Linked DNA regions of Tribolium castaneum. The protein of the gene in region 1 interacts with the protein of each later gene in a pairwise test. Links are inferred from orthologs where the notes say so. Each region holds a gene or a part of one and is shown in the gene's direction. Other genes may lie near its edges.

Region 1 (4,184 bases):
CTTAGAGGTTATGGTGATATACAAATTTTCAGATGACTATCATTATTAGAACTACCATTACTTCTAATGTGGGTTTAGACGCCACACCCTGTCTGTTAAACTAAACTAAAAATTCACAATATTTGATCGAAAATAAATTTATTTTACCACTTCCGCGTCTATAAGGCCAATTATTTCGTGAAAAGTCGTCAAATAAAACCAAAAAATTGCCCAAATTAATCGGAAATGGTGTTATTGTTGTATTATGCATGTTTGTAAACTAAAAATCAATTAATTTTTAAAAATTATCCAAAAAACGCTGAATTTTTGAGCATTTTTTCAAGATAAAAACTCGGATTTTCTCGAGATTATACGTTGTTCAAAAAGAAACCCAACTGTTTTGAGAAATTTCTTCAAAAATTAATTTAAAAATGAACACAAGTATCACATATTTTGAGCGTTTAAGCACGTTTATGACTTAAAAACTCGGCCGTTCGCATGATATTATTACACTTTGTTTAAACAAAAATCCAGTAGTTTTGAGAAATTTCCTCAAAAATTAAAAAAATTAACACAAATAGCGCATTTTTCGAGCGCATAAGCACGTGTTTGGGCAAAAAATTCGGCCTTTCGCATGTATTACACGTTATTCAAACAAATACCAAATTGTTTTAAGAAATTTTTTCAAAAATATACGGAAAAATTAAAAAAATGAACACAATGATCGCATTTTTAAAGTGTTTAAGCATGTTTTTGAGCTAAACGATTGGGTTTTCACATGATATTACACGTTTTCAAACAAAAACCCAATGGTTTTGAGAAATTTCCTCAAAAATAAATCGAAAAATTAACACAAATATTATAATTTGTCACATTTTTTGAGAGTTTAAGCAAGTTTTGAGATAAAACGCGTTTTTTTTTTCGATATTAGCGTAAATCGAGTTAAACATGTTCTGAATTTGATCGAAAATGAGTTAATTTTTCCACTTTTTCACCCAGAAATGCAATTATTTCGTGAACCATGAAATCACCGAACTGAATCGAAAAAAGCTATACTTTTATTTCAAACACGTTTTTGAGCTAAATACTCAATGAAACCGAACAAAAATTAAGCCTCATAGTCAAAAATAAAATTATCAAGACCTATTCCTGATTAAATTTTTATTAAAAAGCAAGAAAAGCAATTTTTGGTTTTACAATTTATTCAAAAGACAAGAAGCTTATCGGAGATCTGTTTTACCGGCCAAATTTTCCTCTAGACTTTTGTGATTAAACTAAAATAAAACCGACAGGAGCATTATATAACATTTAGCGTTACAAACATTAAGATATAGATTGAAACCGCCCACTTGAGCCCTTTCCTGGGGCCCCATCGCCCGAAAGTCCTAGTAATTTCCCGCCATTGTGTTGGTATTCCGAATTGACATCTGTCAATGCCATAACCGAGATGTTTGTGCCTTATTTGTTGTTGTTATTTTACGGTTGAATAATGCGATAGGTTTTACAAAAGCGAGGATTATGTTAGAAAAAATGTCTCCATTTCGCAAAAAGAAATCCGAGAAGAGTTTCCCCGTGAAAGTGTGCACATTGGACGCCGAATTGGAGTTCAACTTACAAGTATGTTTACCGTCTCAATTCTCCAAACTGTGAATAATTTTCGCATTGTAGTGGCGAGCCACCGGCAGGGATTTATTCGAGCTAGTGTGCCGCACAATCGGGTTACGCGAGACTTGGTATTTCGGTTTGCAATACGAAGATTCAAAAGGGTTTATCAATTGGTTAAAATTGGACAAGAAAGGTGGGTCTGGTGCTGAGAGGGCCCCCAAAATCATGTGTGTGTTTCAGTCCAAGACCAGAGCATCCAGAAGGACCCCCACAGTACGGTGTCGTTCATGTTTTTCGCGAAATTCTACCCCGAAGAAGTGGCCGAAGAGCTGGTTCAAGAGGTAACAAAACACTATTTTTTTCTCCAAGTTAAGCAAGCTATTCTCTCTATGGATGTGTACTGCCCCCCTGAGGCGTCCGTCCTGCTAGCCAGTTACGCGGTCCAAGCCAAGGTAAATAGTTTGAGGTTAATGTTCCCCCTGTCTAACAGCCCCCAGTTTGGAGACTTTGACCTAGATACGTACAAACCGGGAATGTTAGCGAACGAGGATTTGTTGCCCCAAAGAGTCATCGACCAGTATCAGATGACTCTAGACATGTGGGAGGAGCGGATAAGAGTGTGGTACTCAGATCACAGGGGTATGTCGCGAGACGAAGCCGAGATGGAGTATTTAAAAATCGCACAAGACTTGGACATGTACGGTGTTAATTATTTTCCGATAATGAATAAAAAAGAGACTGAGTTGTGGTTAGGTGTAACACCTCTAGGATTAAACATCTACGAAAAGGAAAATAAACTACAACCAAAAACGACGTTCACATGGGCCGAAATACGACACATTAGTTTTGACGATAAAAAATTTATTATCAAACCGGTCGATAAGAATTCCCCAAATTTTGTCTTCTTTAGCCAAAAAGTTAGAATGAATAAATTGGTAAGTGGGTGTGGTCTGAGGGGGCGTGGTTAAAACAAATGTTTCAGATTCTTGATTTGTGCATGGGTAACCATGATTTATTCATGCGGAGGCGTAAACCCGATTCTATGGAACTCCAACAAATGAAAGCCGCCGCCAAAGAAGAGAAACAACGTCGGCAGATTGAACGAAATCGTCTGGCACGTGAAAAACAATTGAGAGAGGAGGCGGAGCGTGAAAGGGCCAATATGGAACAGCGCCTGCTCCAGTACCAGGAGGAAATCCGATTGGCTAATGAAGCTCTGGTAAGTTTTGATTGGCCGAAAGCCCCTCTTACAGAGTTGGGCATAAACAGATTATAATGTAGTTAAATCAATAATCTAATTACAACGTAATCGCATTACTTTTTTTCATTTACATTGTAATTAATTATGTTTTATTAGCTGTAATAAGTTAATTGATTAAATTGAACAGTAGATGATTGTTTTGAAAAATCATTCTTTAAGGAGGTTTTGTGCTTTATAAGAATTCCACCCCCAAGGGGGTTAAATTTTGTATAAAAATCTGTATTTTTTTTAAGTTATACCCATGAAAATCGTTATTTGAGTTTTCGGTTAAAAATGAAAATGGTGTTTCATTGTTTTTTCAAGTTCTACTTACAAAAATTACGGATTTTTATAGGAAACCCCCTTGCGAATGGATTTTCTACTTGTTTTTTTGCAAGATTTAAAGCTGAAAAATCATTAATTTAGATAGAAAATTACTATCTTTTTGCCTCTTTCAAACGTTTATCTGAATTTTTAATTGAAAAACCCAGTTTTTTTCGCAATATTAATAAAACAGCTCAAATTTGATCGAAAATGATTTTGTTGTTTTATAATAATAATTCTAATAAGTTATTTTAGGGCCTTTAAAAATACCTTTACATAAAAATGTATAAAACAGAAAAAACAAAGAGCAGTAAATTATGTCGAAATCTGTATTAATTTTTGTTTTTTTAACGTTTTGGAAGAACGTTTTTGATTTTGCTAAATCGACTCAAAAAGTGGGCTGTTTCGATCGATTTAGTTCGTTTTTAAACGGTTTTTAAACAATGTCGAATTAAATATAAACTTCAGATTAAAATCAAAAAACATATTTCCAACTTCGAATTAACTTGACTCTGAGGATTTTGACTTTAAATTTAACTGAAATAACGAGTCTTAGGGATGGAATTTCCAAAAATCCTAAAACATTTGTTTTTGATCTTTAACCAAAAGCTTAAATACCAATTTTCATGGATATAACATAAAAAAAACATACTGATGTCGCACTTACTCCAAATCTGTGCATGCGTCTTATAAAACTCGTAATATACTATTCTATTTGTAATCTTTTAATAAAAAATTTGCAAATTTATTTAAAATTTGGAAAAAGATAACATACTGAAACGTGAACCCAACAAAAGTTAGAGCCCAACTATTTTCGTTGTGCCAGAAACGGACAAACTAATTATTAAACACTGACCGAAAATGGAGGAAAACATTAAAAATTATAAAGAAGAATTTTGCAAAATGTTATATAGAAAAGTTGTATTTCATGAGTTTTATTACGTGTTAAAACTAAAACAGGTATTTCTAATACACTCTGTATAATATTAAGAACTGTCCTGTTATGTGAATTAACTTGGAAGGAGTTCATTGGAGT
Region 2 (3,662 bases), on another chromosome or scaffold:
TGTCCCGGCGATGAAAACGTGTCTTAGGGCATCGAAGTCGGTGTGCGAGACTTGGCGAGGTACGTAGTTTTCGTTGAAGACGTTCATTAAGTTGCCGTAAACGCCGAAAAGAATGGCGTTCGAGGGGCCGATGGTAAGTACAGGACATAGCATTCCTTTGAAGAAGCCGGGGATTCCCTCGTGCCGGAATGTGCGCGAAATGGCAACGAACAGCTTCGTGCCGAAGTTCTGTTGGCGCACTTTGATCGTGTCGAGGGGGTGGCCCACCACCACCCCACAGATGCCTGAAATTCGGGATTTTTTATTTCCAGAATGACCCACACAGTGGCACAGTTGTAATGTTGATTCTATAACATTTCAGTAGTTGTTTAAATGCAATTTCCATCTCAGAATAAACGTAATATTTAAAAAAATATAATTCAATTAAGAGCCCCCTCGTATTTTTGAGGCCCGATTTCTTAAAAAGCAGTTGAAATTACGTGCCTGTACCAATTTTCATGAACTTAATCAGTTCCGAAATGGTACAAATTCACAGTTAACGAATTCTTCATGACATAATGGTGGAGGCGCCGGGTAAATACCCGACCTCTTGGAAGCGACCCAACATTTCGAAATTTTATTATAATTTTTTGGGGTTTTGTGTGAAAAGTTAGCCTAGTTAGCTTCAACTAGCGTTCGTTAGAGAACATATTTTTACCTTTTCCGTATACAGGGTGAATGTTTATTTCCGAAATTTTCTCAGATGCAATGAAAAATTATTTCCTACACTAGTTAGTCTGTGCTTAAAAAAATTATGACATGTAATTTATAGTTAGGATAATTTTTCGTAGTCGGAAAAATCAACGACTTGACCGGAATTTGATTTGTCTAAGGATTCCAAATATGTAATCAGTTTTCATTTATCACTGCTAGTTTTCGAGATAATGACCAAAGTTTGCATGTTTTGTAATCGTCATTTACAAAAACCAGCCTAAAAGAGGGCCCCAGCCACGCGTGGCCCCCTAACCGTAGACAACAATGAATACACGCTGGAATGTCGCTAAAACGTCCATCGCGCATGCCCCTAATCTGGTGATGTGAATTTGTAAACAATGGAATTTCTGTTGTGACCAAAATGCAGTGTTTACAAGTGTTTTTCCCCATGACAAGACATAGAGTACCTCCGAACCATCCTGCAATGAAATCGGCGAACTTGAACGTCCCATCCATCGCTTGAGACGCCTCCGCCAGCCGCCGTCGCAAACCCTCATCGACTGGCCCTCAATTTTCAGCCGAAAATAGCCCGCAATTTGCACACCTGCTGACCATGCTATCGCGCAAAAACAAAGATTTGAAAACGATCAAGGAAGGGGTGGTCGGCAAATACGTGAAAAAAGACACCCCGCCCGAAATGCCAAGTGAGCGATTTTTTGACAAGTTGGACCTAACCTCACATCAAATTTTTCGCAGTCATTAACGTTTGGACAACCGAACCAAAAAGACGCCTCTCGAACCAGGGCCGTCAGTCGCTCCCCGCCAGCCTCACACGGGGGGCCAACCAGAGCAGCATCACCGTCCAGAAATTCGGGAACCAAAAAACCATCATCAGCTCTGGCCTGGGGGCGCACCAGGGGAAGTACACACCCAGCTCCTCAGTCCCGGATTTGGCCACCAGGTTTGCCAATCTGTCCACAAACGAAAACAATTCCCTTTACACGCCAAGCTCATCAGTGGCCCCACAACACATTTACATGAACCAACACATCAGTTCGTCATACAGTGACAATTCGGTGGTTCAAGCCCCCTTGAAGTGGGTTTTTTAATTGAATTTGTCGCTTCCAGAACGCCAATTACGTCGAAATTGATCAAATTTATCCACTCACTACGCAGGATAATAATTATAATAGCAGAAGTTCGCCGATTTATCAGAACACTGATGGGGCCCATAAGAGTCAAGACACGACCCCCATTTATAGCAATACGGGGGCCGAGCGCTACTCTAATCCTCTGCAAGGGATGACTTATGGTGAATCGCTCGCCCACCATTTGAGACACTCGCTGGGGCGCAATGAAAGCAGTACAGGTATTGGGTGTACAACTGGTTGCCTAGCTCGTTGTGTCAATTAATCATTATTACGGCACTTAGACGTTCTTGCTTTGATTATTTTTAAAAATTTGTTTGATTTTTAACAATCAATTATTTGCATAGTTAGGCGCTTGTTTTTAGATCAGTCTGAAGAGCTTCCGCTTCCGCCCGGCTGGTCCGTGGACTACACCCTCCGTGGTCGTAAGTACTACATCGACCACAATACCAAAACCACCCATTGGTCGCACCCCCTGGAGCGCGAGGGGCTTCCCACAGGATGGCAATGTGTCCATTCCCCCATTTACGGCATTTATTACGTCAAGTGGGTTTTTCCCCCAGTTAGACTCAAATCCAAATAATTTAATTGTAGTCACATTACGAAACAAGCTCAATACGAGCACCCTTGTCTAGTGCCTTGCTATAATTATCAGCCCGAGGTGCGGTATTTCAACCCCCCAAGAACGACACATTATCAGCCTCACAGCGTCCTGGTGCCGGCAAATCCCTACTTGTTAGAGGAGATTCCCCATTGGCTTAACGTCTATTTCAATGGTAAAACCACAATTAATTTTTGCTGTGTTAATTGTGAGTGTAACCGATTTTTTTGGTGTTTATTTTAGCGAGTCCGGATCTGGACCACAAATTAAAGTGGGACATGTTCCGGTTGCAAGACCTGGACTGTTACAACGGCATGCTGACGCGGCTTTATAAGCAGGAACTGCAGAACATTGTGATGCGGTACGAGACCTACAGGTCCGCATTGCTTGTCGAAATGGAGAAGTTTAGGAATAGTAGAAATGGGGCTGTGACTGGTCAATAAAATGTTCCTTTTTGTATTTTATTAACTAAGAAATGTGATTATTTATTCTTGTATCGCTTCAGACGCTTCATCAAACTCGTTATGGATGTCATAGTTAGTGACTTGCAGGCCTGAGACTTGTATCACTTTTGCGTCCTTAATGCCTAAAGTTCGAGCCCATTGTTGTGCTAAAGACACGAATAAACGCTTTATTTTTATTAACAAGTGTCTCATTTTACCTGGGGATAGGGACAATTCTTCCTCCGATTTGTACTTGCGGGCCCAGTCTGCATTGCCTTGGTACACCTGGTAAAGGACGAAGCCGAAGGCGTTCCACGCGGTTAACATGTAGAATATGGAAAGGCGCTGTTTCCACACGTGGGCCCGCTGCTCAGGGATCTGATTCGTGTGTCTTCTGATAAAATTACGCAACCAACGGGGGTTGAAGAGCGACATTTTGGGGTTATGTAACACGCAAAATCGGCGAGAAATAACACGTCGTGGAGTGGTTTGGGGCGAACTCTTGACGCGTTTAGTGTTTTTTTGGGCGATTCCAGCGGTTCGTTCTAGTGATAATCCCGGGTTTTTGCCATAAAATTAGAGGTTAGATGGCAGTTTCGGGCCCTACTTTACCGGCCGCGATTTGAAAAAATAAACAAAATGGCGTCCCTTTAAAAAGTATCAAAATTCGAAGTGAAATTTTCGTGTCACAGTCAATTAAAATACTATGAATAAGTAATTTCGGCGCAACGGACCCAAATGTGAGTAGAACGGGTGGAGTTTGCGGCCCAGTTTCAT
Region 3 (4,356 bases), on another chromosome or scaffold:
ATAAAGTAGCGTAACTACTTTTAAGTTTTTTATTTTTTTTTGCTATAAATAAACTATTTAAATTGAACTAAATTTCAGTTACATTGTCAGGTATCCCCCTTGTCTTCTTTCCCAGGTAACAGTTGTTTTCTAAGTTTTGGCATGACTCTAATTCTGGGTACACTAGGCCCAGCAAACTTGGCTTTAACTCTTCTTTGTTCAGGAATATAGACTTCAAAAACTTTATAATATTTTAAAACATTTTCTGCAACAGATCATTGGCTATATTGGCTTAAAACAATGGAAAATTACTTGTTATTTCTTCGGGTAATTTATACTCCTTAGAAATAGCTTCAACACTATGTAGTCTACGATCGTGTTGGTGGTCTGTCACAAACTTAAGGACTTGTTTTAGTGAGGCCCTCCCTTCTGGAATTTTTTCAGGTTCTTTAACCCCATATTCAAAATCCTCAACTTGTTGCCTGTTAAGAGGAAGAGGTCTGTTGGGGTTTATTTTCTGTTCTTGCACCGGATTCTAAAAAAATATTTGCAAATTTGACGTTTTTTTTTTTAATTTACTTACAGGGTCATGTGAGGTCACATAAACATCTTTTAAGTAGTTATCCAACTGTTGGTGTTTTTTCTGGCCTTCCCTAAATTCTTCAGGATACTCTTCAAGAATATTACATTACTCAAGCCCTTTCGAATAAACAAACTCACCTCTCATTAATCTTTCATAATCTAGTTGATCACTTTTGTGTTTGGGAGCTGGAGTTGGCTTATCTTTGGATATAATTTTGTGTGCTCTACTCTCGATGTTAAAAGTCCGAAAAGGACGACCCATTAAAGACATGACTTTTCCCATTTTCGGCTTAAAAATTGAGTTGAGGTTAGGTGTAACCTCAATTCTAAAACTTCTTGATGTGACAGTTGACGAAAATTGAAGAAGGACCTCACGTATCCAGTTTTAATTATTTAAGGATACTTGTTTATTTCATAAAAATTGTGTTATATCATAATTTTTATTTTTCTATTCCACACATACTCGGTCACATTGCTGAAACAAAGACAGATTGACGGAGAAAGACAAAGATAAAACGCCTATTATGACCTTTTTTTTGATTTTTAAATCTGTAAATATTTTAAATCAGGGGCGTAGAGACTGAAACTATCAAATACCATGCATGTTTATTTTGCATCTGGGCAGATGTTTAAATTATGTAACTTTAGCACAATTTAAGTTAGCATTTTACTTTTCAAATCATTTATATTAGATCTAAAAAAAAGCTCACAAAAGAAATAATAATTTCTAATTTGAACACCTTTGATACGCTTATGGAACAAACGCTATCTCCATTGTCGCAAGCAGCGCGCATAGCTGCCAAATTGAGAAAACGGAGGGAACTAGGCGTCACATTATTTTCAACTAAAAATGGACGAAACAAGGCATTAATAAATACTCAGCTGGAAAAAATGGGATGTTTTATAATTTCCAAGTAATTGTCTGGGTGCAGACACGATTCGTGAGCTAAAGCAATGGCATTTAGTTCTAAATAAATAGTTTTCTAAGGTTGGCAGATTCTGGAATTTGACACTGTGTAAGATGGCTGGTATCTGAATCTTGGTAAATTGTCTTTGTTTTCATTACAGATTTAAGTGCCTTAAAAAGTGATTTAGCTTTAAATAACCGTACAGTTGAATGTAATTAAAAGTTTATTGTGTGGTGCGTGCGACGTAGCGTAGTGTAGAAGCCCTATGATGGAAATAATGTGTTAAGTGTTCATAAATTCCTCCACATAGAATGAGATAGATTGACAATTGACACTTCAAAATCTGTCAGTTCTTGCAGCAGATTCCATTTGTTTTAGAAGAATAAAAGGTAATTGTTGGCTAGGTTGTTTAAATAAATTTATCCTTGATGAGATGAATTGGTGTTAGACAGTAACAGATTAGATGTCACGCACAATGCCAAAGAATGTATGACTGGAATGCCGTGCGAGTGAGACATTTGATTGTAATTTGGCACATAGCTCTACTAGCGCCTGAAGCACTGTATCCCATACACTATGACAGATGCTATGCCTAATCTTTACACCGATTTATTCCCATTTTAGCCTACGCTTTAATCCACACCAAACGCCCCCTGATTTGTCTCAACTAACGCACAAAATTCGCTTCTCTTCCTAATCTCCGCAGCTAATTGTCATAGTTGCAGCTTTTTATGAAAGCAAATCACCAAACTGGACCATAAGAATGTAAATTAATCAATTAAAACATGCCATACAAAGACACAACCACTCCAATTATTCCTCGGAGACTTCTTCATTTAGCAACTAGGAGCGATTTTGGTGTTTATTAAAATAAAAACAATCCAAATGCAAATGTAATTGAGGTCACATTTAGAACATTTTTTCAGTAATAATTATTTGAAAGTGATTTTCACGGGTGCATAAAAAATTGCAATTGTGCACGCTTATTGGTAAGCGACCTTTTTTACCGCTCGTTATTGGTGCTCATTACGTAATGAATTAACAAGAAATTGACATCAATGGTTAAAATCTAGCAGAGTGTAAAATCACGATTTGTGAGAGCTGAATGAATTCATTATTATTATTAAATACCGACTGGCGACTGCATATTTTGTGGTTTATGCGTTTTTTAAATAGTTTTCTAAAAATATTTATATACAGTGTCAGTGTTAATATAATTTTATTTGAGATCAAAAGTTTTACCACAAAGGAAGAATCTCGTTTATCAAAAAATTCCACTAAACTTTTGTCATAACTTGAAGTTTTACGGCTGCAATAATAAAACCGCACACATCCGATTCGAAGCCGAAATTTTTCCACGGCAAAATGGATTATTTAAGAAGTCCAAGGATCAAGAAAAATGTTGATTAATTTATCTGTTTTTTGCTTTCCGTTAGTGCAGATCTTGTAAATCTTTATCGTGTCTCAAAATGATTTATAAAATGTACCGGTTGCATTAAATGAGTAACTCCAAATATCACAGCGCTTTAGAAATTCGTTGGAATTTCAAGCATCTATTCCTCTTGAGTAATTTGGAATTATCAAAACAGGTCACAGTATGAGAGCTCGTTATGGACGTATTAAATTTTCACTCGACGATTTGATAAAATTCGTGTCAAATTATTGATAAAAACGTAACCGTATTTTTTTAGATTGAAATAAAGCGACAATGTCTGTGTTCGCACTTCCCTGTAAAAACGAAAACGTCATTTTCACGTGCATCTTCGAGGATCCACGGCACATTAACAAAGCAGTGAAGCATGATTTATGCGTTCATGAATATTTCCATTCTTCATTGAAGTTTTGCAAAGCTTAATCGTGCGGTTACCTGTTGTTATTTTTTAAATTTAAATTAGGCGAAATTATGCAGAAAGCTACCAAATTTAACAACATTTTATATTTTGCAATGTGCAGAGCGACGTTTCACATCGCACTAGAAATCAACTCATACTCTTATTTTCGGAGTTGGAGATTTTTGCAGAATTCTCCTTGAATTGGAAGGTGTCTAGGGATACAACGCTGAAATCTCTATTTTAAGAAAAATCAGTTTAAAGTTGAGGGTTAACTTGCATAAAAAATTATTTTAAAAAAGTTGTAATTTTATTCTATGTATTTTTTTCACATAAAGAAATAAACATAGTTTTCTGGTTCATTGAGGGTTCATTGTTGTTTTATTAAACACCTTATAAACTTGACTGGATAGTTTGAAAAAAAAAAAGAAATTCATTAAGTCATTAATTTAATTTCCAATTAAATGCGTGATTAACTGATCACGTGACCAAATTGACGCAATTTGGTTGGTCCATTCGCGTTGTTAACTTTTACCAACTAATTAAATTTTAACGTAGCTTTCTGTAAACCGGCCCTTAAATTTTTTTTTATTATTTTTATAAGGGGGTAACTTGTTACAGCGGGGGCAAATGCCTACTCCTTGACTGCTAGTGTTTTTATTTTTGAATATTTTGTTTTTGATTGCAGTCGTGAAGTCGCGAACGATCGAATCCACTGCAAGAATCGTCAGGAGTGCGTCAAAACTCGTCTTCCAATGTAATGCAAAATGTATGAATGGGCGTAATTGTAGTGCATACTCATGTGCGGGGAGCCATGTGAATCGCTAGTGAGTGGCAGGGCCCAGCATGGGCCAACAGCCTCGGCCCCAACTGAACATGAATCCCAGCGCGCCAGCCCGCTCGCCGGGCTACCACCAAAAGGCCATGGAGGAGATCCAGAACTCGCTGCGCCCGTTCGCAAAGAGCGGCGGCGAGGCCGTGGGCTCCAGTGCGGCCAGCACCATTTCGAATTTCTCCGCCACAAGCGGAGTGAGCTCGCTGAGCTCGACGTCCGGCAC

Evidence for each region.
Region 2: the proteins of Mer (region 1) and sav interact in a two-hybrid assay, tested with the Drosophila melanogaster proteins (2 studies listed by BioGRID). The link is inferred for Tribolium castaneum from reciprocal best matches to the Drosophila melanogaster genes Mer and sav.
Region 3: the proteins of Mer (region 1) and wts interact in binary tests that used the Drosophila melanogaster proteins (3 or more experiments, as listed by UniProt). The link is inferred for Tribolium castaneum from reciprocal best matches to the Drosophila melanogaster genes Mer and wts.

Annotation. Positions count from the first base shown.
Region 1 is NC_087401.1:7,792,608-7,796,791, forward strand, and holds the start of Mer (merlin), read left to right. Parts: upstream 1-1,377; 5' UTR 1,378-1,497; coding exon 1,498-1,596; intron 1,597-1,647; coding exon 1,648-1,777; intron 1,778-1,824; coding exon 1,825-2,036; intron 2,037-2,081; coding exon 2,082-2,519; intron 2,520-2,566; coding exon 2,567-2,803; intron 2,804-4,184. UniProt on the Drosophila melanogaster protein: Regulator of the Hippo/SWH (Sav/Wts/Hpo) signaling pathway, a signaling pathway that plays a pivotal role in organ size control and tumor suppression by restricting proliferation and promoting apoptosis.
Region 2 is NC_087396.1:21,519,465-21,523,126, forward strand, and holds sav (protein salvador homolog 1), read left to right. Parts: upstream 1-1,261; 5' UTR 1,262-1,306; coding exon 1,307-1,397; intron 1,398-1,449; coding exon 1,450-1,769; intron 1,770-1,821; coding exon 1,822-2,062; intron 2,063-2,206; coding exon 2,207-2,387; intron 2,388-2,435; coding exon 2,436-2,617; intron 2,618-2,685; coding exon 2,686-2,885; 3' UTR 2,886-2,927; coding exon of another isoform or gene 2,928-3,052; 3' UTR 3,053-3,089; downstream 3,090-3,662. Other genes in the region: solute carrier family 25 member 45, read right to left, coding at 1-284, 1,161-1,209; uncharacterized protein LOC659596, read right to left, coding at 2,928-3,052, 3,104-3,320. UniProt on the Drosophila melanogaster protein: Plays a key role in the Hippo/SWH (Sav/Wts/Hpo) signaling pathway, a signaling pathway that plays a pivotal role in organ size control and tumor suppression by restricting proliferation and promoting apoptosis.
Region 3 is NC_087397.1:10,568,360-10,572,715, reverse strand, and holds the start of wts (serine/threonine-protein kinase Warts), read left to right. Parts: upstream 1-1,546; 5' UTR 1,547-1,858; intron 1,859-3,986; 5' UTR 3,987-4,144; coding exon 4,145-4,356. Other genes in the region: protein NDUFAF4 homolog, read right to left, coding at 87-244, 292-514, 563-651, 700-844. UniProt on the Drosophila melanogaster protein: Negative regulator of Yorkie (Yki) in the Hippo/SWH (Sav/Wts/Hpo) signaling pathway that plays a pivotal role in organ size control and tumor suppression by restricting proliferation and promoting apoptosis.